Linked DNA regions of Callithrix jacchus. The protein of the gene in region 1 purifies or fractionates together with the protein of each later gene. This does not show direct contact. Links are inferred from orthologs where the notes say so. Each region holds a gene or a part of one and is shown in the gene's direction. Other genes may lie near its edges. The genes, in order: POLR1C, POLR3C, POLR1F, POLR3H, CRCP, POLR1E and POLR3G.

Region 1 (4,082 bases):
ACACCAATACCAACTCCAGGACATGGGACACACCTAGGTTTACTTTTCCACCTGCAGGGGATTCCATCTTGCTTACCTGATCAGCCACCTGCCGGCTCAGCTGTCCCTTAAAGCCCTTCATGCCCAGGAACTCTCCATCCTCTTCTTCAGCAGCAGCCGCATCAGCGTCTGCATCAGCGTCTACTTCTTCCTCGCGCAGGCGCTGATGCAGTTCACCCATATCCTCGAAGCTAGAGCCTGAGGTATCATCCATGTTCTCCATGTCAATCACAGCTGAGCCTCCGCCCTGTTAAGACAATGGCTCCTAGAGTGCAGGACTTTTCTGTTCCATCCATTAAGTCCTCTGCTCATCCCAGGGCTTAGGGCTTTGTTCTTCCACTGCTGAGGATACGGCTTGGAATCACTACAGATCATGCCACTCCATTCCCCCTCATTTGCTCTCAGAACGCTTGATTTATAGCTTTGGCTATCTTTTCTAGCCTGGGAAACCAACTAGTCTTCCATTCATGTCTTTCTCCTACCTTACCTATCAAAGACTAAAAGCTTGAAAAAGAATCCATTTCTGTCTTTCCAAAGCCCCAAACAAAACTATGAACACAGTATGTTTTCGGCGAGTGCCAGTGAATCCCACCCAACCCCACTCCAGGCCTGACCCCAACCAACCTCCTAACTTGTTCCAAGAATACGTTCTTCCTAACGCCTCGGGCGGGCCCAGAGACCCGAGATCCTCAGGCTGGAGTAGTAGACTAGTCTGGCCCTTTCAGGTCAATGTTAACTCCACTGACTTTTGTGTGCAAGACCCAAAGAAGGCAGTTTTGCAAATGGAGTGAACTTCCAGGCCCCGAGGGAGAATCCCCAAGACACTTCTGGACATCGCCGGCCCTCGGGTTGCTGGCATCTGGTGCCTTGGGGCCATTACCTGGATGTTTTCTTCGAACCCTCCCCATTCCGGGCCAGCTCCGTTTCGGGCGCCGCCCGTCGGCGCCGCTGTAGTTGCCATGCCCTTTGAGGGCTCCCGTCGCTGAAGCCCGCGATAGCCCCGCGCGCAGGGAAGTGTGCGAGATGTGAGTCCCAAGAAGGGAGAGGTCCCAGGTCGCGGAGAGGTGGGATCAGCCGGAACACAAAAAGGAGAAACCCGGATGTTTGGACAAAACCAACTTCCGGAAATTGGGGACGTGGATGAAGGTGGAGCAAAGTCTCGCGATATTTAAGATTCCAGGAGGCGGTGCGTTGCCACGGAGATGGAGCAGTGCTGCTAGAACGCACGCGCCAGCTAGAGCCTGTAGTCTTTTGGAGAGATTGAACATGGCGGCTACTCAGGCCGTGGAAGAAATGCGGAGCCGCGTGGTTCTAGGAGAGTTTGGGGTTCGCAATGTAAGACTTGTGTCCTTGAGCTCAGGCGGGAGGAATGAGAGCGGAACAGGGATGGGTCTTGGGATTGGCGTGGGGATAGCCGTAGGCTCACTGTCCATTTGTGGACAAACTCATCCCTTTGCTCTAGGTCCATACCACTGACTTTCCCGGTAACTATTCCGGTTATGATGATGCCTGGGACCAGGAACGCTTCGAGAAGGTCAGTGGGGCCAGAGTTGTCCGGGGATTGTTAGGAGGGCCAGACCCTGTGGTCTCAGCAGCATGTGTCTGTCTCAGTAGCTGCTCTTGGGGGTCGCTCCGTTTGTAAGTTTTGTTGAGCAATGTGGTAGACCTCCGTTTACAGGCCAAGTTAGACACAGTTTCTACCCAGTTCTGCAAACAAGATGTTCAGTCTTGTTGAGGAATGGTGCGTATAAACAAGTGAATCTAGTTTAATATGGTAAAGGTGGTTGATAGCTGTGAAGATGGCAGGATTCGTGTGGGGAACATTATGCTGAGACCAGGAAGAGGGGCCCAGAGGTACTTAACATTTCTTGAGGAGGGAAGATCTGAATTGAGCTTTGAACGGTAAGTAAAGAACAGGAGTTAAATTAGGAAGGCTTTGAGTTTCAGGTCAGTGAAGTTGAGGATATACAGGTTTTGTGTGTATTTAGTCTATTATTGTTTCACTTAGCTTAAAATAAGGATTAAAATTGCATTTAAATAGATCACTGAATGTTACTGTTTATGCAACTGAACTGTGTGTGCAGTTTATAAAACATGATCTATAAATCTGTGCTTGGGAAAATTTTACTTTTTTTAACCTGTTGATACAGGAATAAAGTATGAACAATGAAAAAGGCTAATGCTTGAAAAAAAGTTATGGTGTGAATTGTGCTCCGGGAATGTCCAAGCAGTTCTGGCACTAGTGGTAGGCAAGATTGAAGTGTGTCTTGGGCACTGTTGATGATAGGGAGCTTGAATAGTTAAGCAGACATGATTAGATTTGCAACCCTGATAGCTGGGAGGGAATGAGTTTGAAGAGGATCGTATGGAGCAGGCAGATCTGTTGTAAGGGAAGCTGAGGTTGAAGGTATGAACTAAGACTGACGGTAGAAAGAGAGCAAAGGAAGAAAGAAGGTAAATTTGTGATTGCTTTGGTAAAGGCTGTTGGGGTAGCATAAAATGACTTTTTGACTTGGGAACTGCTTTGATGCATTGTGGTATCATTTACTGAGAGAAGAAATGGGTCTGGGGAAGAGGAATGATGATACGTCGTTTCCTGCATTTGGAGAAATCTAGCAGGCTAGAAGACTGCATATTTGAAATGAGATCAGAAGGGAGGTAAAATTTTGGGAGGTGTCAGCACAGATAGTTGCTAAAACCGTTGTTAGTGTGGTTAAGGTCACCTGGGAGAGAGACCAGAACCTGGTAGATTTAGAGATGGGTGGACGTTGTTGATCATCAGAGAAGGAAGAATGGAGCTCAGAAGCCAGGAGAATAGTTCAAAAAAGGAGGGGATTTTTTTTTTTTTTTTTTGAGATGGAGTCTCTGTTGCTCAGGCTGGAGTGCAGTGGCAGGATATCAGCTCACTGCAACCTCTGCCTCTTGGATTCAGGCAGCTCTCCTGTCTCAGCCTCCTGAGTAGCTGGTATTACAGGTGCACACCACCATGGCCGGCTAGTTTTTTGTATTTCTAGTAAAGATGAGGTTTCACCATGCCAGTCTCGAACTCCTGACCTCGTGATCCAACCACCTTGGCCTTCCAAAATGCTGGGATTACAGGCATGAGCCATTGCGCCTTTCCAGGAGGGGATTTTTTTAATCAATGCCAGGCGTAACAGACGTCTAGTAAAAGGACTGTCTAGTGTCAGCATGACTAAGCAGTGAGGTGGGTTTCTGTTCTTAGGACAATAGCTTCTGTGGATGGTTTGGTTGGGAGCCATATTGGATAGGGTTTTAATGAATGGAAGACAAAAAATGGACACTTTTCATGAACCTAAAGCAAGCACTGGACGAGAAAGAACATTTAATAAGGGACGTCTGGGCAAAGGGTGGTTTTTGGATGAGTGGATAATACTTGGAATCATCTGAGGGGGAGGTATGAAGAGCTATTACAAAGAGAGCAGGCTTCACTTAATCTTTTTCCTGTCCCTCTAGAATTTCCGTGTGGATGTGGTACACATGGATGAAAACTCACTGGAGTTTGACATGGTGGGAATTGATGCATCCATTGCCAATGCTTTTCGACGAATTCTGTTAGCTGAGGTATTGGCAGGCATGGTGACAAGGTTGGATTTGCTTTGGGAACTGCACTGACACTTGGAGTGTCACTTGGAGAATTAAGTGTCTCAAGCTGTCCTTCCCTTCTTATTTTTCCTGGAGTTTTGCTGGCTAAGGATTTTACCTTCTCATTCTTTGTAAACTTCTCATTAAACATTCTAGGAAGAGAGATAGCTCCCTACCTCTGGAGGTTGGAGTTTGTGGGGATAGGTAGGGGGTCTATTGGGTTTTTGCTGATAAGTGATTTTTTCCTTGGGCAGGTGCCAACTATGGCTGTGGAGAAGGTCCTGGTGTACAACAACACATCTATTGTTCAGGATGAGATCCTTGCTCACCGTCTGGGGCTCATTCCCATTCATGCTGACCCCCGTCTTTTTGAGTATCGGAACCAAGGTGAGAAAATGAAATTTTGGGAGAAGTGGACTGTCTGGGTTTAAATCCTGGTT
Region 2 (2,398 bases), on another chromosome or scaffold:
CTGTGGAAGAGTTTTCTTATTACTGTTCCTCTCTGGTCCTGGTTCCACACATGGGATAGAACACCGCCCCATCTATGACTGGGAACTAAAGCTACTCTCCTGTGTTGGCATGCCATTTGCTTTCTTCATTCTTTTCCAGATTTGGGTCTCGCTGTGCTAGAATATTCCGTCTAGTTTTGCAGAAGAAACACCTGGAGCAGAAGCAAGTGGAAGACTTTGCAATGATTCCTGCAAAGGAGGCAAAGGATATGCTATATAAGATGCTCTCAGAAAATTTTATATCACTCCAGGTAACCAAGGGTGTAACAACTGCCAACCAGACAGGCTAGCCTAGGGTGAGAGAAGCTTCTCCGGCAAACATACTGAATCCCAAGCAAACTCTATATCCAGCTCTGAGACAGAAAACATGATTCACAGAGATGTAGCAAGCACTTAGAGGAAGATGTGGAGCCTTAATTGCCCTAGTAAGAAAGAGGCAGCTGGGCACAATGGCTCACGCCTAGAATCCCAGCACTTTGGGAGGCCGAGCCGGGCAGATCACTTGATGTCAGGAGTTCGAGACCAGCCTGGCCTACATGGTAAAACCCTGTCTCTACTAAAATACAAAACAATTAGCTGGGGGTGGTGTCACGTGCCTATAATCCCAGATGCTTGGGAGGCTGAGGCAGGAAGGAGAATCTCTTGAACCCAAGAGGCAGAGGTCGCAGTGAGCTGAGATTGTGCCACTGCACGCCAGCCTGGGCAATAAAGCAAGACTCTGTATTAAAAAAAAAAAAAAAAAAAAAGGTTTTTTGTAAAGATCATATAGAATTTACCTGGTACACAGATTTTTCAGTAAATATTAGTTACCTTCCCTTTCTTCTCCATTCAGGATGCTGACAGTCAAATGGGAAAAAAAGAAAAACAGGGAAGCCCAGCTCTCCGTTTAATTAATTACGACATAAACCACAGAGACTGGGCTGGGCACACCTGTAATCCCAGCACTTTGGGAAGCCAAGGCAGGAAGATCACTTAAGCCCAGGAATTCAAGACCAGCCTGGGTAATATAGTGAGACCATGTCTCCTCCCCCGCCAAAAAAATTAAAAAATTAGTTGAGCATGGTGGCGCATGCCTGTAGTTACAGCTGCTCAGGATACTGAGGTGGGAGGATTGCTTGAGTCCCAGGTAGAAGTTGCAGTGAGCCAAGATCGCACTGCCACATTCCATCCTGGGTAACAGCAAGACCCAGTCTCAAAGTAAATAAATAAACACAGGTACTGAATGACTAGGAAACATGAAAATGTAAGTGAAAAAGAGAGTTGAGTAAGTCCAGATGGAATGAGTGTTTACCTTGCCAGTTCCAAAACAATATAATTTGTTACTTTTTTTTTCTATTGGACAAATAGGAAATTCCCAAAACACCAGACCATGCCCCATCCAGGACCTTCTATTTATATACTGTGAACATCCTGTCAGCTGCCCGAATGTTGCTGCACAGGTGCTACAAGGTAACCCAGTCTGCTGCCTCCACATGGACAAGTCCCCCTCATATGCCCATTTCACCCATTTTACCTGAGCTGCTGAAATTGAACTATGTGCATTTCTTGTCTGTCTTCTCTTTCCTCAGAGCATAGCCAACTTGATAGAAAGGAGGCAATTTGAAACCAAAGAGAACAAGTAAGTAACATTTTCAGTTGAGTTATTTACATTTTTTAAGGTCAACGGCCTGAGGGGAAATTTCCTATAGAAACAGGAACCAATGAAGGCTGGGCCAGGTGCAGTGGCTCATGCCTGTAATCCCAGCACTTTGGGAGGCTGAGGCAGATGGATCACTTGAGGTCAGGAGTTCAAGACCAGCCCGGCCAACATGGTGAAATCCTATCTCTACTAAGAATACAAAAATTAGCTGGGCATGGTCATGGGCCCCTGTAGTCCCAGCTACTCTGGAGTCTGAGGCAGGAGAATTGCTTAAACTCAGTGAGTGGAGGTTGCAGTGAGCCACTCCATGCCACTGCACTCCAGCCTGGGTGACAGAGTGTGACTCCATCTCAAAAAAAAAAAAAAAATTCTGAGGAATAGGAAACAATGGAGATAGCAACCAGTGTCCTTGCATTGAATCACTGGCTTAGATTAGTATAAATCATGCATAGGCTACACTTTTCTAATACGCTCCCAATGAAATAGTTTTTTCAGATTAAATTTATGAGAAATGTACAGAAGCACCAAACTTTAAGTGCAAATGAGAGGCAGTAAGAGTTTCACGAGTGAAGTTATATTTCCAAATAAGTTTCTAGAAAATGTCCTTAGAAGGTGACATCTACTTTGACCAGGAAAATGGTAAAAGAGTGATGGGTTGTGCCTCAGAGATAAATGCTAAGAGAATCTCCAAGGTTAGGAAACATGTCTCAGAGTTGTGTT
Region 3 (2,223 bases), on another chromosome or scaffold:
GGACCCTAGTTTCCAAGGCAGTGACTCCAGTGGTTACCAAAGTGACCATAAAAAGAAAAAAAAGAAAAGAAAACACAGTGAAGAGGCTGAATTTACCCCACCTTTGAAATGCTCACCAAAAAAAAAAAAGGAAAAGTAATTTTCTTTAGAGTATTTTAAATATGATTCAGTTTCTAAACGACAGATATACGTGACAATTGAATAAATGTTTTGAGTGATATGAAATGCTTAAGCATACCAGTAGTTTACAAAAGAGAAAATAAGTTGGAGACAGCTCGATGTGCTTAAAATGATAAAACTGACTGTACATTGATTTGGGGAAAGCCAGTATTGTTAGTGCCATTGTATACAAAATAAAAAGCTGCTCTTACTGTCAACTCTCATATTCTTCCAGGTTTTGCACTCTACATTGAATTATTTCTACAGTATCTACAGTCTCAAGACCAGCAAGAAGAGTGTGTAATACTATATTATATTACTAAAGAATGAGTTAGAGTTTTTATTTAATTGTGTCTATGTGTTTAATAGGTTTCACCTTATTACATGCTGTTTTATATTGCTTTTTTTAAAACTCAGGACATTAACTAGTTTTAGGTTTTCCTTTACCATTGCTTCTACAGTATTTCTATTGTTTAACATAAAATGGTTTGCCAAAGAAGTTTCTGAAGTCTTCACAGCTCTTAAAAGCCATGCCAGTACTGACTGCCTGGTGGTGTATGCTGTTCATTATTCTTTTCTTCCAGGTGCATGTGTATTCTTGTTTTCTTTTTTAAATCTGAGAGGTTGATGGAAAGGACTGTCTTCTTGTACTTGTTCATTTGTGCCTCAGCCATTCTAATTTTGTTGTGTGTTGGAGTAGACTCTAATGAAGACAGGATAAATGTGATTCTGACTAGTGGGAAATTTCAGATTACTTTGTGTGTGTGTGTGTGTGTGTGTGTGTGTGTGTGTGTACTTTAAGTTCTGAGATACTTGTACAGAACGTGCAGGTTTGTTCCATAGGCGTATGTGCCATAGAGGTTTGCTGCAGCCATCAGCCCATCATCTACATTAGATATTTCTCCTAATGCGATCCCTCCCCTATCACCCCTGACAGGCCCCAGTGCATGATGTTTCCCCTCCCTGTGTCCATGTGTTCTCATTGTTCAACTCCCACTTATGAGTGAGAATATATGGTATTTGGTTTTCTGTTCTTGTGTTAGTTTGCTGAACATGGTGCTTTCTAGCTTAATCCATGTCCCTGCAAAGGACTTGAACTCATCCCTTTTTATGGCTGCATAGTATTCCATGGTGTATATGTGCCACATTTTATTTATCCAGTCTATCATTGATGGGCATTTGAGTTGGTTCCAAGTCTTTGCTATTGTTAACAGTGCTGCAGTAAACATATGTCTGTATGTGTCTTTTTAGCAGAATGATTTATAATTTTTTTGGTATATACCCAGTAATGGGATTGCTGGGTCAAATGGTATTTCTATTTCTAGATCCTTGAGGAATCACCACATTGTCTTCCACAATGGTTGAACGAATTTACACTCTCACCAACATGGTTCTTATTTTTCCACATCCTCTCCAGCATCTTGTTTCCTGACTTTTTAATGATCGCTATTCTAACTGGCATGAAATGATATCTTATTGTGGTTTTGATTTACATTTCTCTAACAACCAGTGATGAGCTTTTTTTGATGTTTGTTGGCTGCATAAATATCTTCATTTGATAAGTGTCTTTTCATATCCTTTGCCTACTTTTTAATGGGGTTGTTTTTTCTTGTAAATTTGTTTAAGTTTGTTATCGATTCTGGATATTAGCCCTTTGTCAAATGGATAGATTGCAAAAGTTTTCTCCATTTGTAGGTTGCCTGTTCATTCTGATGATAGTTTCTTTTGCTGTGGAGAAGCTGTTTAGTTTAATTAGGTCCCATTTGTTGGCTGTAATATATTGTGCTGAAGAGAAAACAGTTGTTTTGTTCACTGCTTTCATTGAGAAAACATGGAATGTCTCTTGACTAACTGACAAAGAGTAATGAAATGACAAGCTGGTTGAAGCTGATAATCAATGCATGGCCATATTTATTCATTTTCCACACACTTGACCATCTACTTTGTACAACACATTCTTACACTGCCCAGGGATATAATGGTAAACAAGTTAGATGTATGTCATGTACACACATCTTGTGTGGCATGTCACAAGAGAACAGTTGTGCATGTACACACAATAAG
Region 4 (4,198 bases), on another chromosome or scaffold:
GGCCCCCTTCTCCTCTTTAGCCATGGGAAGCCTCCCATGGAGCTGTAGGAGCTGGAAATGGCATTTCTTTTGCGGCAGGGGCTTATCCTGCAAGGCTGGGATCTCTGGTCATATCCGCCTTCTGACCTCTGGGCATGGAGGTCTGTCTGCAGAGGCACGGGCCCGGGCACTAAGGGCAAGGGGTCTCCATTATCCTGTAAGGGCCTAAATGCAGACTGTGCATCCCTGGTCCCCTCGGGGCCCCTACAGTCCTAGATGGCCTTGGCTTCACCCCGCAGTGCATTATTAATGCACCGGAGCGCTGCCTCCTTCTCCAGGTCCAGGTCTTCAGCAGTGACCAGGAACCCCAGCTCTAAGGGAGGTGGCAGCATCAGAGGTTCCCCTCACCTCCGTGGCAGCAGAGGAAACTTTCTTCTACAAGGCCTAGACTCCTGATATGTGGGGGAGCCATTCCTGGGGGCCAGTTTCTCCCCTGGTGGTGCATCTGCTGCCTTTTCACCCTGGGTATGAATGACAGCCTGAGAGACAGCCTGAGAGTTGTCCTCACTCACTGTCTTTGAGGAACTGAGGGTCACATGGCAGTGGGATGAGGCTGGCCCTCTCCTCCTCTTTAGCCACGGGAAGCCTCCTGTGCAGCTGTAGGAGCTGGAAATGGCATTTCTTTTGTGGCAGGGGCTCATCCTGCAAGGCTGGGATCTCTGTTCATGTCTGACATCTGACCTCTGGGCATGGAGGTCTCTCTGCAGAGGCCTGGGCCTGGGCACTAAGGGCAAGGGGTCTCCATTATCCCGTACAGGCCTAAATGCAGACCATGCATCCCTGGTGCCCTCGGGACCCCTTTTTTTCACCATCCAGACTCTCTTGGACTCTGGGGTCCTTGTCCTGATCAGGCATCACTGCCTCACTCTACCTGTGGGCTCTCAACACGATCTCCTCTGGACAGGAGTCTGGGCCTCAGCTGGGTGTTGTAGGCCCCAAAGGGGTGACTCCCTGCTTCTGGGACCCACAGAGAGTTTTTGTGTGGAATTGGAAGCTTGCTGTGGTACCTGTGCATCCAAATTGAAGGCAGAGGCAGAATCACTGGAAAACCTTCTTGAAGTTGTTTTGACACAGCAAGGAGGAGATCCCACAAGCAAGGTGAACGGAGGGATGGGGAGAGCGGGCTCAAGGCAACTGAGCCCTACTGGCAGGCCCTCGGCACTCAGGCCGGGACAGGGATAAGGGGCACAGAGTGCCCAGCTAGCCCCTTCTAGGAGCAGTGGGGAACTTTCAGATGCTTGAACTCTCGAGAGCTGGGCTCTGAGCGTCGTCTTCTAGCTGCCAACTCGGCTAAAGACTAAGCTAGCAGTTTCTCCTGTTGCCGGGCAACGCATCTTTCAAACCTGCGCGAGTGGGGGCGCGTGCAAAAACAGGCGCAAGTGAAAGATCCACGCCAGGACGACCTTCAGGGACTCGCGCGACATGGTATGCACGCCAGGCACCTGCGGACAATGCGGTGGGGGGAGTGGTGCAAACCTTTCGCGAGAGGCACGTGCTGGCAATGGTGGGGCGGGGGGAGGAGGGGGGTGTGTGTGCAAGGTATGTGCATGAGGCACCTGCGGGCAATGACGGGAGTCAGGGCCCTGGGGGGTAGAGGGGTGCGCACCATAGGTACTAAAAGGAGAGGCGCGCACACAAAGGACTCCGGACCTGAAAGGATTGGTGTGGCAAGGTACGCGCTCAAGGTACCTGCTGGCAATGGCGGGAGGGGGAAAGGGCCTCGCGGCACAATAGGTACTGGAGGGAGAGACGCGCGCACTAAGGACTTGGGACCTTAATGGATTGGCGCTGCAAGGTACGTGCACAAGGCACCTGCTGGCAACTGCAGGATTGGGGGCGAGGTGGTGGGGTGGGGGGGGCAGCGCGCGCAATAGGTACCGGAGGAGAGGCGAGCACAAAAGACCCGGAACCTCAACGAACTAGCGTGGCAAGACACGTTCACAAGGCATCTGCTGGCAACGGCGGGAAATTGATGGGGCTGGGGCGGGGCGCGATATAAGTACTGGAGGGAGAGGCACGCGCACAAAGCACGCGAGACATTAACGGCTCGGTGCGGCAACGTATGCGCACAAGGCACCTGCTGGCAACGGCGGGGAGGGGTCAAGGTGTGCGCGAGAGGCGCCTGCTGTTAATGGCAGCGGAGGGGCAATGTATGAGCACAAGGCACGTGCTGGCAATGGCGGCGGAGGGGGCAATGTATGGGCTCAAGGCACCTGCTGGCAATGGCGACAGAGGGGGCAACGTATGCGCACAAGGCGCCTGCTGGCAATGGCGGCGGAGGGGGCAATGTATGCGCACAAGGCGCCTGCTGGCAATAGCGGCGGAGGGGGCAATGTATGGGCACAAGGCACCTGCTGTTAATGGGGGGATGGGTCAAGGTGTGTGCGCGTGGCGCCTGCTGACAATGGCGGCGAAGGGGGCAACGTATGGGCACAAGGTACCTGCTGGCAGTGGCGGCGGAGGGGGCAATGTATGGGCACAAGGTGCCTGCTGGCAATGGCGACGGAGGGGTCAAGGTGTGCACGTGAAGCGCCTGCTGACAACTGAGAGATTGGTGGCGCGGTGGTTGGGTGGGGGGGCATAGCGTGCAATAGGTACTGGAGGTGAGGGGAGCACAAAAGACCCGGAACCTTAACGAACTGGCGTGGGAAGACACGCGCACAAGGCACCTGCTGACAACCGCGGAAAAATGGGCCGGGGCGGGGCGCGCGAAATAGGTACTGGAGGGAGAGTCACGCGCACAAACACGCGACACATTAACGGATCGGTGCGGCAAGGTATGCGCACAAGGCACCTGCTGGCAATGGCGGGGAGGGGTCAAGGTGTGCGCCAGAGGCCCCTGTAATGCGTGAGCCGAGCCTTTTTTTTCTTCCCTGGAAGCAGAGTTTTACTCTCTCACCCAGGCTGGAGTGCAATGGTGCAATCTCGTTCACTGAAACCTCTGCCTCCCAGGCTCAAGCGATTCTGCCTCAGCCTTTTGAGTAGCTGGGATTACAGGACTATGCTATCATGCCCAGTTAATTTTGTATTTCTAGTAGAGACGGGGTTTCACCATGTTTGCCAGGCTGATTTCAAACTCCTAAGTGATCTGCTTTGGCCTCCCAAAGTGCTGGTATTACAGACATCAGCCACCACGCCTGGACTGTCCTAGCCTCACAAAGTTTTCCTTCGCTGTCCTCAGTTTAATGTCATGGCGGGGCACAGCCTGGTCGTCATGATTAAGGACTCTGGGGCCTAGGTCCCGGGTTTGCCACTTACTGGCTATATGACCTTGAATGACCTATTTAACCTCTCTTTGCCCTAGATGAGGCAAAATGAGACAATGAGGTAAGTGAGATAATGATAATAGCTCCTACTGTATACAGCTGTTCTGAGGATAAAACTTAATGCATGTAAAGCACGTAAGTAGTACTCCACATATAGTAAGTGCTCATGAATGTTAGCTGTTAATATCATAATCATAAGGCCCCCTGATCTGGACGCTGCTTAGGTCTCTAATCTCTTAGCTTACCAGTTCTCATCTCCCATGTAAATCAGCCCGAATATTATTATTATTTATTTTAGAGACAGAGTCTTTCTCTGTCACTCAGGCTGGAAGGCAGTGGCAGGATCAAAGCTCACTGAAGCCTTGAATTCCTGAGCTCAAGCAATCCTCCCACCTAAGCCTCCCAAGTAGCGAGGACTACAGGCAATCATGCCCAGCTAATTTTTTTTTTTTTTTTTTTTTTAGTAGAGACAGTGTTTCATTTTGTTTCTGAGGCTGGTCTCAAACTGATCTTAAGCAATCCCCCTGCCTCAGTCTCCCAAAGTGTTGGGATTACAGGCATGAGCCAGTGTGCCTGGCTCCAAATACTTTTGATTATTTAAGAGTACAAACTCTCTTTCTCTCAATGCCCACCCCCCTGCCCCCAACTCCAGCACCAAGCGCTCTGAGCTGAAGTTTTTCTTCTCCATTGCATTTCCAACAGCTGGACACAACAGCATATTGAATGAATGCATGAATGAATAAGAACAGCATCACATTTGGGTTCCATTTTAGGCCATTCTCACATTGCTATAAGGAAATACTTGGGCTGGGCATGGTGGCTCATGCCTGTAATCCCAGCACTTTGGGAGGCTGAGGCAGGCAGATCACCTGAGGTCAGGAATTCGAGACCAG
Region 5 (4,295 bases), on another chromosome or scaffold:
AGAGGGAGTCTGGCAATGTTGCCCAGGCTGATCTGGAACTCCTGGTTCCAAGAAGTTCTCCTGTCTCTGCCTCCCCAAGTGTTGGGACCAAGCCTGGCCTCCTTTTTATTAAGTAGTTTTCCATTGTACAAATGTAGAACATTTTATTCCTCCAATTATTAGTCACTAGTTAATGCACCTCTTATATTTGTTCAGATTGCCTTGGGTTCAATACCCACCGGACAAGTTCCTAGATGAGTGACTTTTGGCAAATCATAATCTCTCCAAGACTGTCTCAGTTTCCTCACTTATAAGGCATGAATAATAATGGAATCTACTTCATTCCATTGTACTGCCACAGTAATTAATAAAGTGCCAGGCTCTTTATAAGGATTACCTAACACACTTATTATATACAAAAAAGGGAACAGAGCTGTTGCAGTGGCTCATGCCTGTAATCCCAGCACTTTGGGAGGTGGAGGTGGAGGATCAGTTGAGGCCAGGCGTTCAAGGCCAGTCTGGGCAACATAGCTAGACTCCAATCTCTACCAAAAATAAATAAATAAACTACAACGCTTCTGGCACCCCAGACGCCACCAGCCTCACTACTCTCTGAGGGGTGGGATTTTAACATGCAAAGACCTAGTAACCCCATCACGTCTCGGAACTTTAGCTGATTAATTACTTTGTTAAAACCTAGACCAGGCCGGGCGGTGGCTCAAGCCTATAATCCCAGCACTTTGGGAGGCCGAGGTGGGTGGATCACAAGGTCAAGAGATCGAGACCATCCTGGTCAACATGGTGAAACCCCGTCTCTACTAAAAAAATTAAAAAATTAGCTGGGCATGGTGGCGCGTGCCTGTAACCCCAGCTACTCAGGAGGCTGAGGCAGGAGAATTGCCTGAACCCAGGAGGCGGAGGTTGCGGTGAGCTGAGATCGTGCCATTGCACTCCAGACTGGGTAATAAGAGCGAAACTCCATCTCAAAAAAAAAAAAAAAAAAAAAAGAAAAAAGAAAACCTAGACCACGAAAACATGAGATAGACGGCGCGACGGCGCATGCCTGTAACAACCCCAGCACTTTGGGAAGCCAAGGAGAGTGTGGATCACCTGAGGTCACGAGTTCGAGACCAGCCTGGACAACATGGTGAAAGCCCCGTCTCTACTAAAAATACAAAAATTAGCCGGGCGTGGTGGCGGGCGCCTGTAGTCTCAGCTACTGGGGAGGCCGAGGCAGGAAAATAGCTTGAACCCGGGAAGCGGAGGTTGCAGTGAGTCGCGATCGGGCCACTGCACTCCAGCCTGGGCGACAGAGCGAGACTCCGACTCAAAAAAAAAGAAAACACCGGATAGTCCTGCCCGCAAGTTCTTAGCAGCCTGAAGCGAAGTCCTGGGCTAAGGACACAGCGACCCTCCCCCGGCCCCCTGAGAAAACGGACTGGGCAGCGAGAGGTTCCGGGTCCGCCAAGCTCCCGGCGTGCACCGCGGCGATCCCGGCGTGCACCGCGGCGATCCCGGCGTGCACCGCGGGGCGCGGAGCTGGCTGTTTGGCGCGGGCGGTGGCGGCGGCGGCAGCTGTGGGGTGTGCGGTTCCTTGTCCGCTGGTAGCCTGGGGGCGACGAGGCGGGACGTCATGGAAGTGTAAGTCTCCCGGGACGAGTCTCTTTTGGGCCGGGGAGCCCAACGGTTGGACCGCCGAGAGCCGCGGGTACTGGGCGACCCCTCCTACGGGAGTGAGGGCCGAGGGCGGCCCTGTCCGGGAGGGCCGCGCGCGTGGGAACGGGGACGAACGAGGACAAACGGGGACGAACGGGGCTCTCGCTCTGCCCTTCCCAACCTTCCCTTCCCCCCCACAGCCTGCGTCTGGGATGCGAGGCCGAGCACCTCCGGATCCCGCTGCCTTCCAATGCGCCTCCTCCTCCTCTCATTCATTTACCAGCGTTCCTGGGTCACAGTGCGGGGGTGGAGCCCGAGTCCGGGGCTGTCGGACCCCGGACTTAGAAGGCTGTGAAGGCCTGTCTGTCCGCCCTGAGAGTGGCTGGAGGAGAGACGAATCGGGGCGGGGTAGAGTAGAGCTCTGCTTGCAGCCCCGGGCTCTTGGGGAGCCCTCACTCGGAAGAGCGGCTCTCAGAGTTTGGTGGGAGCAGTCAACCCTGTGACGGAAGGGGCGGGTTTTTGCGGGGAGTGGGGAAGGATATGAGCCAGGACTGGGACCCGAGAGACAGCACGGGGTGTGCGGGTGTGTGTGCGGGTGTGTGTGCGCGCGAGGGTAAAAGGTTTTCTGACAATTTGACCTCACGTGGTCTTTTCCATGCTTGCTCGTTGCACTTGGTGCAAACGAAGTTTTTTTGCATCTACTCTGAATCTGGGTTTTATATGGTTGATACTAACTTGTAGGTATTACCTATCTTGTGTTCTCTGTGAACTGATTTTTTGATACAGTTTCCTTTAGGTTCTTTTGCCTCATGTTTAAAAGTTATATGTACTATGGCAGTTCAGATTTTTACGTTTTTAATTAATTTCGTTTTTTCTTTTTCTTTTCTTTTTTTTTTTTTTGAGACGGAGTTTCGCTCTTGTTACCCAGGCTGGTGTGCAACGGCGCGATCTCGGCTCACCGCAACGTCCGCCTTCTGGATTCAGGCAATTCTCCTGCCTCAGCCTCCTGAGTAGCTGGGATTACAGGCACGCACCACCATGCCCAGCTAATTTTTTGTATTTTTAGTAGAGACGGGGTTTCACCATATTGACCAGAATGGTCTCGATCTCTTGACCTCGTGATCCACCCTCCTCGGCCTCCCAAAGTGCTGGGATTACAGGCTTGAGCCACCGCTCCCGGCCTTAATTTTGTTTTTTCTTAAGAAACAGGGTCTTGCTCTTTCCCCCTGGCAGGAGTACAGTGGCGTAATCATGGTTCACTGCAGCCTCGACCTTCTGGACTCAAGCAATCCTGCCTCAGCCTCTCCAGTAGCTGGGACGACAGACCCACGCCATCACTCACAGCTAATTTTTTTTTTAAAGTTTTTGTAGACACAGGGTCTCACTTTGTTGCCCAGGCTGGTTTCCAGCTCCTGAGCTCAAGTGACCCTCCTGCCTTGGACTCCCAAAGTTCTGGGATTACAGGCATGAGCCACCTTACCTGGCCCCTTCCAATTTTTTTTGACTGTGTAACTGAAAGACTCATGAAACAATAGTGTATGGAGTACACTCTCAATATTGTCTATTTTTTATTAAAATGAATGGGGCCAAGCGTGGTGGCTCATACTAGTAATCCCAGCACTTTGGGAGGGTTAGGCGGTGGGATCACTTGTGCTTGGGAGGTGGAGGCCAGCCTGGGCAACATAGAGAGACCCTGTCTCTACAAAAAATTAAAAAGTTAGCTGTGTGTGGTGGTGCATGCCTATAGTCTCAGCTACTTAGAAGGCTGAGATGGGAGAATTGCTTGAGGCCAGGTGGCTGCAATGAGCTGAAATCTAGCCACTGCACTCCTGCTGAGGTAAGGGAGCAAGGCTCTGTCTTTTATTTATTTATTTGTTGAGACGGAGTCTTGCACTCTTGCGTGGGCTGGAGTGCAAAGGCGTGATCTCGGCTCACTGTAACCTCCGTCTTCTGAGTTCACGGGATTCTCCTGCCTCAGTCTCCCAGGTGCACACTACCACACCCGGCTGATTTTTTGTATTTTTAGCAGAGACAGGGTTTCAGTATGGTGGCCAGACTGGTTTCTTTTATTTGTTTGTTTTTGTTTCTTTTTTCTCTTTCTGTATCACAAGAACAGGCTAGTTTCAAACTCCTAACATTGTGCTTCGGCCTCCCAGAGTGCTGGGATTACAGGCGTGAGCCACCGCGCCCGGCCCTGCCTTAGAATATATTTTGAATGCAGTTACTTTTCAGCCTCTCCACTGTTAGGTTCGTAGTCCGTCACCTCTGGGCTGGATTAAGCCGTAGCGTTTGGGTGTTCACTCTTCCCCAGCCTCCATTCTGTTTTCCACGTGGCAACTGGAGTGATCTTAAGTAATGATTGGAACATGTCACCCTGTGTAAAACCCTTCATTGGCTTTCCATTGTACTTAGAGGAAATTTGCATCTCTTACCAGGACCTGCAGCACCCTATAAGACCCCACCTACTCTCCAGCCTTATCACTTTCCAGTCTCCCAACCTCCCAAACACTCACTTTCCACTGACAGGAGCCTCCTAAGCACTTGCTGAGGACTGTTGCGATGCAGGACCCTCTGTCTGGTATACTTTCCTCCTCATCCTCACCCTGTTCTCTTTATTGGTTTTTATTTTTATTTTTATTTTTTGGGATAGAGTCTCAGTC
Region 6 (3,500 bases), on another chromosome or scaffold:
CAAGCAGTTTTCCTGCCCCCATCTCCCAAGTAGCTAGGATTACAGGTGGGCACCACCACACCCAGCTAATTTTTGTTTTTTTTAGTAGAGATGAGATTTCTCCATGTTGGCCATGTTGTTCTTGACCTCCTGACCTCAGGTGATCCACCTGCCTCGGCCTCCCACAGTGCTGGCTGGGATTACAGGTGTGAGCTACCGCGCCCAGTCTGTATTTGCTTAGTTCTTTTTTTTTGAGATGGAGTCTCACTCTATTGCCCAGGCTGGAGTACAGTGTCACAATCTCAGCTCACGGCAACCTCCGTCTCCCGAGTTCAAGCGATTCTCCTGCCTCAGCCTCCTAAGTAGCTGGGATTACAGGTACACACCACATTACCTGGCTAATTTTTGTATTTTTAGTAGAGGTGGGGTTTCACTGTATTGTCCAGGCTGGTCTCAAACTCCTGATCTCAGGTGATCTGTCCACCTTGGCCTCCCAAAGTGCTGGGATTACAGGTGTGAGCCACCTCGACCAGCCACTTAGTTCTTATTTTCACATTCCAATTCCACCTTTCCCTCTCTGTCTCTCTGAGCTTTCAGCACAATTTTGTTTTCTAACGTCATGTTAAATCTGCGTCCTACTGGGACGCCTGTGGCTCACGCCTATAATCACAGCACTTTGGGAGGCTGAGGTGGGTGGATCACCTGAGGTCAGGAGTTCCAAACCAGCCTGACCAACAAGGAGAAACCCCATCTTGACTAAAAATACAAAATTAGCCAAGTGTGGTGGGGTATGCCTGTAATCCTAGCTACTTGGGAGGCTGAGGCAGGAGAACTGCTTGAAGCCAGGAGGCAGAGGTTGCAGTGAGCTGAGATTGTGCCATTGCACTCCCTCCTGGGCAACAAGAGCAAAAATACGTCTCAAAAAAAAATTCTGTGTCCTTAGGCCTCGGGCTGTGGTTTCTTGTTACTGGCCCCTCACCAGCATCACTCTTGCAGGGAGGTCTGCCAGCAGAAGTGCACCGAGCGTGTCTGCATTTTGCCATGGCTGTTCTGCTTTGTGGGTCCTGCTTCTCTTACCACCTGGTTCTGGTCATTACAGTGGCCCAGCTGTTGGCCTTTTCTCTCAGCTCATGGTTGAGGTGTGGCCTGAGAGTTTTAAGAGAAAATGATAAAACTTAACTTTGTGTTGTAGATTCCCTGGGACCTGACATTCCCCACATCATCAACACCAAACTGCTGAAGCACTTTACCTGCTTGACGTACAACAATGGCAGGTCAGGGGGTGGTTTCTGGGATTTTTCCTGTGCAAGGGAAAGCAGGTAGGGGGAGTGAGGAGCGGGGGCTTGGACTCAATTTCATGTCCACAGATATGCAGTGCTAAAGAGATTGCTGCCATTTGGAAGTCTCCTGGGGCCCCAGAAAGTTCAGCAAACGCTAAATATTACTCTGTCCTTTTTGGAAAAGTATTGTCTTTTGGGAATCTTAGAAGCTCTGGGAAGTCCTACAATAGAGACTTGTTTTACGTCACATACTTCTTTTGAGGAGCCCTTCGTGATGTCCCACAGAGCTGGTGTTCTTCGCAAAGGCAACGTTGCATGAAAGGGCAGGCCAACTTGGGGACTTTGGGGAAAGACCCACAAGCAATGCCCGTGGGCTTTCCTTCCTGCCATCTGCATGGAATGTGTTTCCTGCTCCTGGGTGTGCTTTGAAGAATCAGCACAGTTGATTTGGGAATGAATGTTTTCCCAGCAACCCTGCTATGCAGGCGGGGACAGACTCAGAGGGCCCTCACCAGCTCGAAGTGCTAGTGGTACCCAGGGAGTGTGTAGGCCCAGCTTTCTCTCTCCCTCTCAGAGGGAAATGTGGACTGGCACACTGCTCCACTGTGTATGAGGCCCAGGAACCTTGGGAGGGCAAACAAGCCATCTACATTCCTTTTCCTTTCCTTTAGTTCCTGAGTGCATATGGGAATACGCTTGGATGTTCTTATTTTGCTTTTGGAGAAATTGTCTTAGACTTTAATTTTGTTTCTTCATTGCCATTGATATTCTAGATTACGGAACTTAATTTCGGATTCTATGAAGGCGAAGATTACTGCATATGTGATCATACTTGCCTTGCACATAAATGACTTCCAAATTGACCTGACAATGTTACAGAGGGACCTGAAGCTCAGTGAGAAAAGGTGAGCACAACAGAATAAAGAGCTCCCTGCAGGGCACCTTGATGTCTTACTTCTGGTACCACTGGAAAGCATGAGGCGCCACTAAGGGAACTGAGGATTTTTAAATGTAGGAACAACTTGGAACTAGAGGTCTATTTTCAATGAATCAATAATTGACTGAATGAGCAACTAGACATTACTGAGTGCCTTCTCTTTGCAAGGCACAGTCTTAAATTGTCATTATCTCATTGATTTCCCTAGAAAACAATTGAAGAATCAGGTTTAGAAAAGTACATGACTTTCTCAAAGTTATACAACCAAGAGGGGAGCAGTTGGACTTCAGACCTGAGCCTTTCCATAACATTCTGTTCCTGAATAACCAAGCAGCCTCCATTCTCTGAATTTCTGTTACTGGGGAGAGGGATTTTGTATGGTTCTGAGGATGCAGCCAAGGATGGAAGTTGTAGGAGAACCCAACTGCCACTTAGTAAGAAGAGCTTCCTCAGAATCAGATGGAAGGGCTTGCCCAGGGGAGGTGTTCAAGGACAGGTGGAACCTTGAACCACTGTTTGGCAGGGATGTCATATTTGCATTTTTCTGACCCGACTGGGAGAGCTGGTGGTGGGGATGACCTTTCAGGCTCCCTCTAACCTTGTAGAGGAGATTCAGACAGTAGGGGCAGAGCTGCCTGGGAACCTAAACCGTGGGGTCAGCTGATCTTTGTCAGTGATATAGGGGCATGTGATATCCAGGGACCCAGATGGTGTCTAGGAGATCCAGTGAACACACCTCCGTCTGGACTCTCCTAGCAGTCCATGGAGGGACTGTTCTGAGAGCTGTCCACAGACCGTGTTCCCACAGGCCCTGGGGCTGAAAAAAGAGAACAGGTACTTGGAACCCATCAGATTCTAGCAAGTGCTCAATGCTGATTGCTAAAAATTTGGTTATGGGTGGTAAAGAAAGTTGTCCATAGGGCTCTAAGATAGTCTGGTTTTTCATCACCCACATGGATCTTTCGAAGGGCGGCACATTAAAATGAAATTGTCTATCTGAGGGCTTTCAGTGGGTGAGGGGACCTTGCCTGTCCCTCTGCCTGGGGCTTTGCTCCTGCTGGCAACCTTTGGGATTCTGTCTTTATGGCCTGGAGCATGAATGTGCTGCTACCTTTTGCCATACCTCCCTGAACAGTCACATTGAGGAGTCTCTCCCATTGTTCTGTGTCTTCCTTAGGATGATGGAGATAGCCAAAGCCATGAGGCTGAAGATCTCCAAAAGAAGGGTGTCTGTGGCTGCCGGTGATGAAGAAGATCACAAACTGGGCACCCTGTCCCTCCCACTGCCTCCCGCCCAGACCTCA
Region 7 (4,056 bases), on another chromosome or scaffold:
CTACAGGGTGCCAGAGCTGATCTCTGGCAGGGAAGTCTGTGAAGGCCTTGGCGCTGGTCAAGTGGGTTTTTAACTCAGGGAACGGGGAAACAAGTGGTTCTAGGAGGTGCCAAAATAAATCCCCTTATCGCCACGCAGGTCTCCAACATGCGGCACTCGGACAGTCTCTTCCCAACACCCTCCCTTAACGAGAGCGCGCGCCCGAGGGGGCCCATTACCATCCTGCAGGATGAGGCTGGGCTGCACCGCCTGTACCCGGAACTGTCTGGCCCTCCAGCCGGGGCTGGGCGCCCGCACCACCTCGCTATCGGAGAGCCAGGTCACAGTCTCAAAGTTGTCCCCGCGAGCCAGAGCCTCAGCCTCGGCGTGGTGCACGGCCACCCGGTCGAACTGGTAGAGGCCGCCGGAGTGGTCGAAGTGCACGTGGGTGGCCACGGCAAGCAGCGGCCGGTGCGCCGCATCCTCTTTGGCCCCGCGGTCCTGCAAGAGGCCGGAGGAGTACAGGTACTCCGGGAGGCTGCGCAGCCCCAGGCCTGTATCAATCACCACGTCCTGCTCGGAGCCGCGCACCAGCCAGATGTTGGCGCGGTTGCCTGACTCATAGAAGCGTTCTTGAATCCAGAAGATACCATCGCCTAGAGACTTGTGGGCGTACCACTCGAGAGCCGACATGCTGGGCAGGGGTGCAGCCAGGCAGGATGAGTGTGGGCGTGCGTGCCTCCCACAGGCTGGCTGTCCAGACACCAGGCGCTGCGGCTGTGTGGAGCGTTCTGCTGCAGCCAGAGAGGAGGCGCAGAGCGAGGCGGGGGCGGGGAATGCGGGGGTAGGAATAGGAGGAGGAAGGAAGGACGCAGACCCACGCTACCTGGAGCGTGCGCTCCCGCACCCTCCCGCCAGGTCGGCAGCCAGTAAAGGCTGCGCCACCTGCACCGAGGCACAGGAGCTACCGCAGCCTGTACAGCTGCAGCTCGAGGGAGATTTAACGCAGGGGCCACTGCAGCAGAATGGAGACTCAGGAGGCGACTATTTCCCCACCCCAGGAGTGTGGCAGCAGAGACCCGGAGCGAGCAGGGGAAGCGCTAGGACCGCCCACCCACCAGCTTTCCGCGGTGCGCACTCCCAGCTGGCGCGGAAAGTGAGGGGCCTAACGGGTTGTCCGGTGACTACGGCGACTGCCAAGGCCAAAAAAGCTCTGTGCCGAGGGGATGGGGCCTGCCTAGGGAGTGGGCGGGGCTAGTTGGTAGAGCTCACCCTGCAGTTCTGGGACCGCCGGGAGGGCGGTGCGCGCTTCTCCCGAGGTGGAACCCGCGGCGCTGGAACGCCGGCGTCCTCTGCCAGCACCCCTTCCTTGCCGGCCGGCACTTCGACTGCAGAGTTTTGCCCACGCTTCGAGACTTAGGGAGCAGGTAACCGAGGAAGCAATCGAAGACTTGGGAGGGGTGGTGAGGATAGAGGAAAGTTAAAGGGACACGTGGAGAAGGTAGGGGGAAGTCGGGGTTAGAGATTATTAAAGCGCCTCTGGGTTGAGGGGCGTTTGGAGATGGCTTGGTACCTCCCCTGGTGCTGCTCCCTTCAGAATCTTTTTTAAGTCGAATTTCCAGATTTTACTTAGTCTCCGCTTCTGGGACTGTTTACAGTGAGTTAGAAGGGTAGTCTCTTACTTACAGTAGGTGATTTTCAGAATCCGGTGACTTGATGATTTGTTTAGGCACTAGTCATTGCCGCAGATTGAAGCTGAGGACCGACTATTCAGCATCTATTTTCGTAACTGTTGGCACTTTTATATCGTAGGGATGGGAGCTGTTAATATGGTTTGTCTTTTCTTCTAAAAAATAAAATTCTATATCCACTCTCTTTTTTTTTTCTTTTTTTGGTTAGTCTGCCCTTGGAGGAGGGTAAAGAAAGTTGGTAGTGAAGTTCAACCAAGGAAAGAGGGAGAACCTGGTGAGGACGGGAAAAGTGAATAATGACTGGGTGTGGCCCCGCCAGCCACGTAAATCACCCGCACTGTTAACATCAGGTCACTGCATCCATTCCCCACACTTCCCAGCTATTGAAGCAGCTATTTAGGTTTTGGGTTTTTTTTGTTTTTTTGGTGAGACAGTCTCACTCTGTCGCCCAGGCTGGAGTTCAGTGGAACCTCCGTCTCCTGGGTTCAAGCGATTCTCTTGCCTCCGCCTGCCAAGTAGCTGAGATTACACGCGCCTGCCACTGCATCCGGCTAATCTTGTATTTTTAGTAGGAATGGGTTTCACTCTGTTTGCCAGGCCGGTCTTGAACTCCTGACCTCAAGCGATCCGCCCGCCTCGGCCTCCCAAAGTGCTGGGATTACAGGCGTGAGCCACTACACTGGCCTGAAGCATCTATTTAAGCTTCAGAAATTCCCTTGAGAACTTGACTAACCTCCCTACTTCGGAAATATGGTAAAGAGACTCATGAGACAGCATTAGAGAAAAGGATTATGAAAACCTTTACTGTGACAACTACTAGTAAGCCTTCATGGAAGGAGAGGCATACTCTCCTTCCCTACCCTCCTAAAGTTTCATGAACAAAATTGTGTCAAAAGGTCATAATCTGGATTCTCAGGAGTTTGAAGGAAGGTAATGTCTGTACACAATTACTTGCAAGATAAAGCATTGCAGGGTATGTGCCACAGAGGAAGTAAAAACTAGACTCAATGAGAATACAGATGGAAGGGATTCTTGAGGAGAGGCATTTGAGCCGGCCTTAAAAGACTACTTTTAGGGCATTCTCAGCAGAGTAGTAGGGCTCTTTGTAGTTGGGGTACTTTTTCTCTAGGCAGAAGAGAACCACTAGTGGTGAAAAGGAGTGATATCTCTACCAGGCCGTGAGCTCAGCAATAATATACCCAATAATGACTGGACTTTTGCCAGGCTTTGGTTAGCAATGGGGACATAAAAAGGTGAATAAGTTTCCAAGGAGACCTTCACACATCCAGGTCCCTCTGCCTGTATCACACGTCTCCCTGGATGTCCTTTTCTAATTCTCTCCATGGCTCTTTGCTTTACTTTTGTCAGGCTTGTGTTCAAATATCACGGAATGAGAGAGGACTTCTTCAGCCGTCCTCTTTACAATAGCATCCATGTTTCCTGTCTTTATTTTTCTTCTTATCACTTCCTGACATTACCTATAAAATATATTTTGTCAATTTCTTACCCTAGACTATGAGCTCTATGGGAGGAGAGATTTTGTTTTGCTCACTACTGTATTCCCAATTCATAGAGGGCAGCCTGATGCTGAGGGTGCTTAATAAATACTTGATTGGATTGAAGAGCCTCCCTGGGGAGATAGATAAGATCTGATAGTTAAAACATGATTGTAAAAGGGCCTAAGAGCAGTGTAGTACTTGGGAAACAGAGAGAAGGGAGGGGCCTACCTCCTTGTAGGGTGGAAGAGATTGTCATGGAGAAAGTGTCATTTGCATGGCATCTTAAAAGAACCTGGGGCTTAGGAGGATGTGGCAGGAAGGGCACTCCAGGCATGCAATGGTTGATGTGGCCATAGCGTGGGATGCATGTGGTGAGAGGCAGAAAGATTCCAAAGCTCTGTTATTTATGCTAAGTCATGTGCCACTAATTGTATTCCAGAAACATACTCTAGACTGCAGAGTGGATTGAAAGGGAGAGTCTGGCCACAGGAAGTTTATTTGTTATGTTGTAGAGGTCCAGGTGAGAGATGAGAGGGTCTGAACTGAAGCAGAGGTGGACGAAAGGGAACATGGGAGAGAGAACAGAGTTGGTAACTAACCCTCTACTATTAGATGAGGGGTTGGAAGTAGACAGGTTAGGATACCTATCCTGATTATAGCAATTTAGGGGTCATTCATCAGGAATAACACTGTGACCTGACTTTCACTACCTCTAGCTTCTATGTCTGCCTCTATTTGTTTCTGCATTTATTCATGGAGCTGTTGTTGTTACTGGTGGAAGGTGTCCAGGTTCTTGGCATCTTTAGCAAAGAATTGGACAAAGCCCAGAAAGCAAAGAAAGAATGAAGCAACAAAAGCAGATATTTACTGGAAATGAAAGTACACTC

What was found.
Region 2: the proteins of POLR1C (region 1) and POLR3C purify together in Homo sapiens (affinity purification with mass spectrometry; 5 studies listed by BioGRID and IntAct, counting the BioPlex papers as one, with this or other methods). This does not show direct contact. The link is inferred for Callithrix jacchus from reciprocal best matches to the Homo sapiens genes POLR1C and POLR3C.
Region 3: the proteins of POLR1C (region 1) and POLR1F purify together in Homo sapiens (affinity purification with mass spectrometry; 3 studies listed by BioGRID and IntAct, counting the BioPlex papers as one, with this or other methods). This does not show direct contact. The link is inferred for Callithrix jacchus from reciprocal best matches to the Homo sapiens genes POLR1C and POLR1F.
Region 4: the proteins of POLR1C (region 1) and POLR3H purify together in Homo sapiens (affinity purification with mass spectrometry; 5 studies listed by BioGRID and IntAct, counting the BioPlex papers as one, with this or other methods). This does not show direct contact. The link is inferred for Callithrix jacchus from reciprocal best matches to the Homo sapiens genes POLR1C and POLR3H.
Region 5: the proteins of POLR1C (region 1) and CRCP purify together in Homo sapiens (affinity purification with mass spectrometry; 5 studies listed by BioGRID and IntAct, counting the BioPlex papers as one, with this or other methods). This does not show direct contact. The link is inferred for Callithrix jacchus from reciprocal best matches to the Homo sapiens genes POLR1C and CRCP.
Region 6: the proteins of POLR1C (region 1) and POLR1E purify together in Homo sapiens (affinity purification with mass spectrometry; 5 studies listed by BioGRID and IntAct, counting the BioPlex papers as one, with this or other methods). This does not show direct contact. The link is inferred for Callithrix jacchus from reciprocal best matches to the Homo sapiens genes POLR1C and POLR1E.
Region 7: the proteins of POLR1C (region 1) and POLR3G purify together in Homo sapiens (affinity purification with mass spectrometry; 4 studies listed by BioGRID and IntAct, counting the BioPlex papers as one, with this or other methods). This does not show direct contact. The link is inferred for Callithrix jacchus from reciprocal best matches to the Homo sapiens genes POLR1C and POLR3G.

What each region holds. Positions count from the first base shown.
Region 1 is NC_133505.1:51,998,660-52,002,741, forward strand, and holds the start of POLR1C (DNA-directed RNA polymerases I and III subunit RPAC1), read left to right. Parts: upstream 1-1,282; 5' UTR 1,283-1,305; coding exon 1,306-1,374; intron 1,375-1,501; coding exon 1,502-1,573; intron 1,574-3,513; coding exon 3,514-3,621; intron 3,622-3,896; coding exon 3,897-4,029; intron 4,030-4,082. Other genes in the region: protein YIPF3, read right to left, coding at 77-286, 920-1,000. UniProt on the Homo sapiens protein: DNA-dependent RNA polymerase catalyzes the transcription of DNA into RNA using the four ribonucleoside triphosphates as substrates.
Region 2 is NC_133519.1:8,270,425-8,272,822, forward strand, and holds part of POLR3C (DNA-directed RNA polymerase III subunit RPC3), read left to right. Parts: intron 1-139; coding exon 140-290; intron 291-1,386; coding exon 1,387-1,488; intron 1,489-1,607; coding exon 1,608-1,657; intron 1,658-2,398. UniProt on the Homo sapiens protein: DNA-dependent RNA polymerase catalyzes the transcription of DNA into RNA using the four ribonucleoside triphosphates as substrates.
Region 3 is NC_133512.1:38,572,753-38,574,975, forward strand, and holds part of POLR1F (DNA-directed RNA polymerase I subunit RPA43), read left to right. Parts: coding exon 1-139; 3' UTR 140-2,223. UniProt on the Homo sapiens protein: Component of RNA polymerase I (Pol I), a DNA-dependent RNA polymerase which synthesizes ribosomal RNA precursors using the four ribonucleoside triphosphates as substrates.
Region 4 is NC_133502.1:192,353,688-192,357,885, reverse strand, and holds the start of POLR3H (DNA-directed RNA polymerase III subunit RPC8), read left to right. Parts: upstream 1-1,398; 5' UTR 1,399-1,461; coding exon of another isoform or gene 1,462-1,464; intron 1,465-4,198.
Region 5 is NC_133503.1:3,241,050-3,245,344, reverse strand, and holds the start of CRCP (DNA-directed RNA polymerase III subunit RPC9), read left to right. Parts: upstream 1-1,495; 5' UTR 1,496-1,612; coding exon 1,613-1,620; intron 1,621-4,295. UniProt on the Homo sapiens protein: DNA-dependent RNA polymerase catalyzes the transcription of DNA into RNA using the four ribonucleoside triphosphates as substrates.
Region 6 is NC_133502.1:144,473,317-144,476,816, forward strand, and holds part of POLR1E (DNA-directed RNA polymerase I subunit RPA49), read left to right. Parts: intron 1-1,171; coding exon 1,172-1,253; intron 1,254-2,032; coding exon 2,033-2,164; intron 2,165-3,373; coding exon 3,374-3,500. UniProt on the Homo sapiens protein: Component of RNA polymerase I (Pol I), a DNA-dependent RNA polymerase which synthesizes ribosomal RNA precursors using the four ribonucleoside triphosphates as substrates.
Region 7 is NC_133503.1:120,288,173-120,292,228, reverse strand, and holds the start of POLR3G (DNA-directed RNA polymerase III subunit RPC7), read left to right. Parts: upstream 1-1,256; 5' UTR 1,257-1,406; intron 1,407-4,056. Other genes in the region: acyl-coenzyme A thioesterase MBLAC2, read right to left, coding at 219-672. UniProt on the Homo sapiens protein: DNA-dependent RNA polymerase catalyzes the transcription of DNA into RNA using the four ribonucleoside triphosphates as substrates.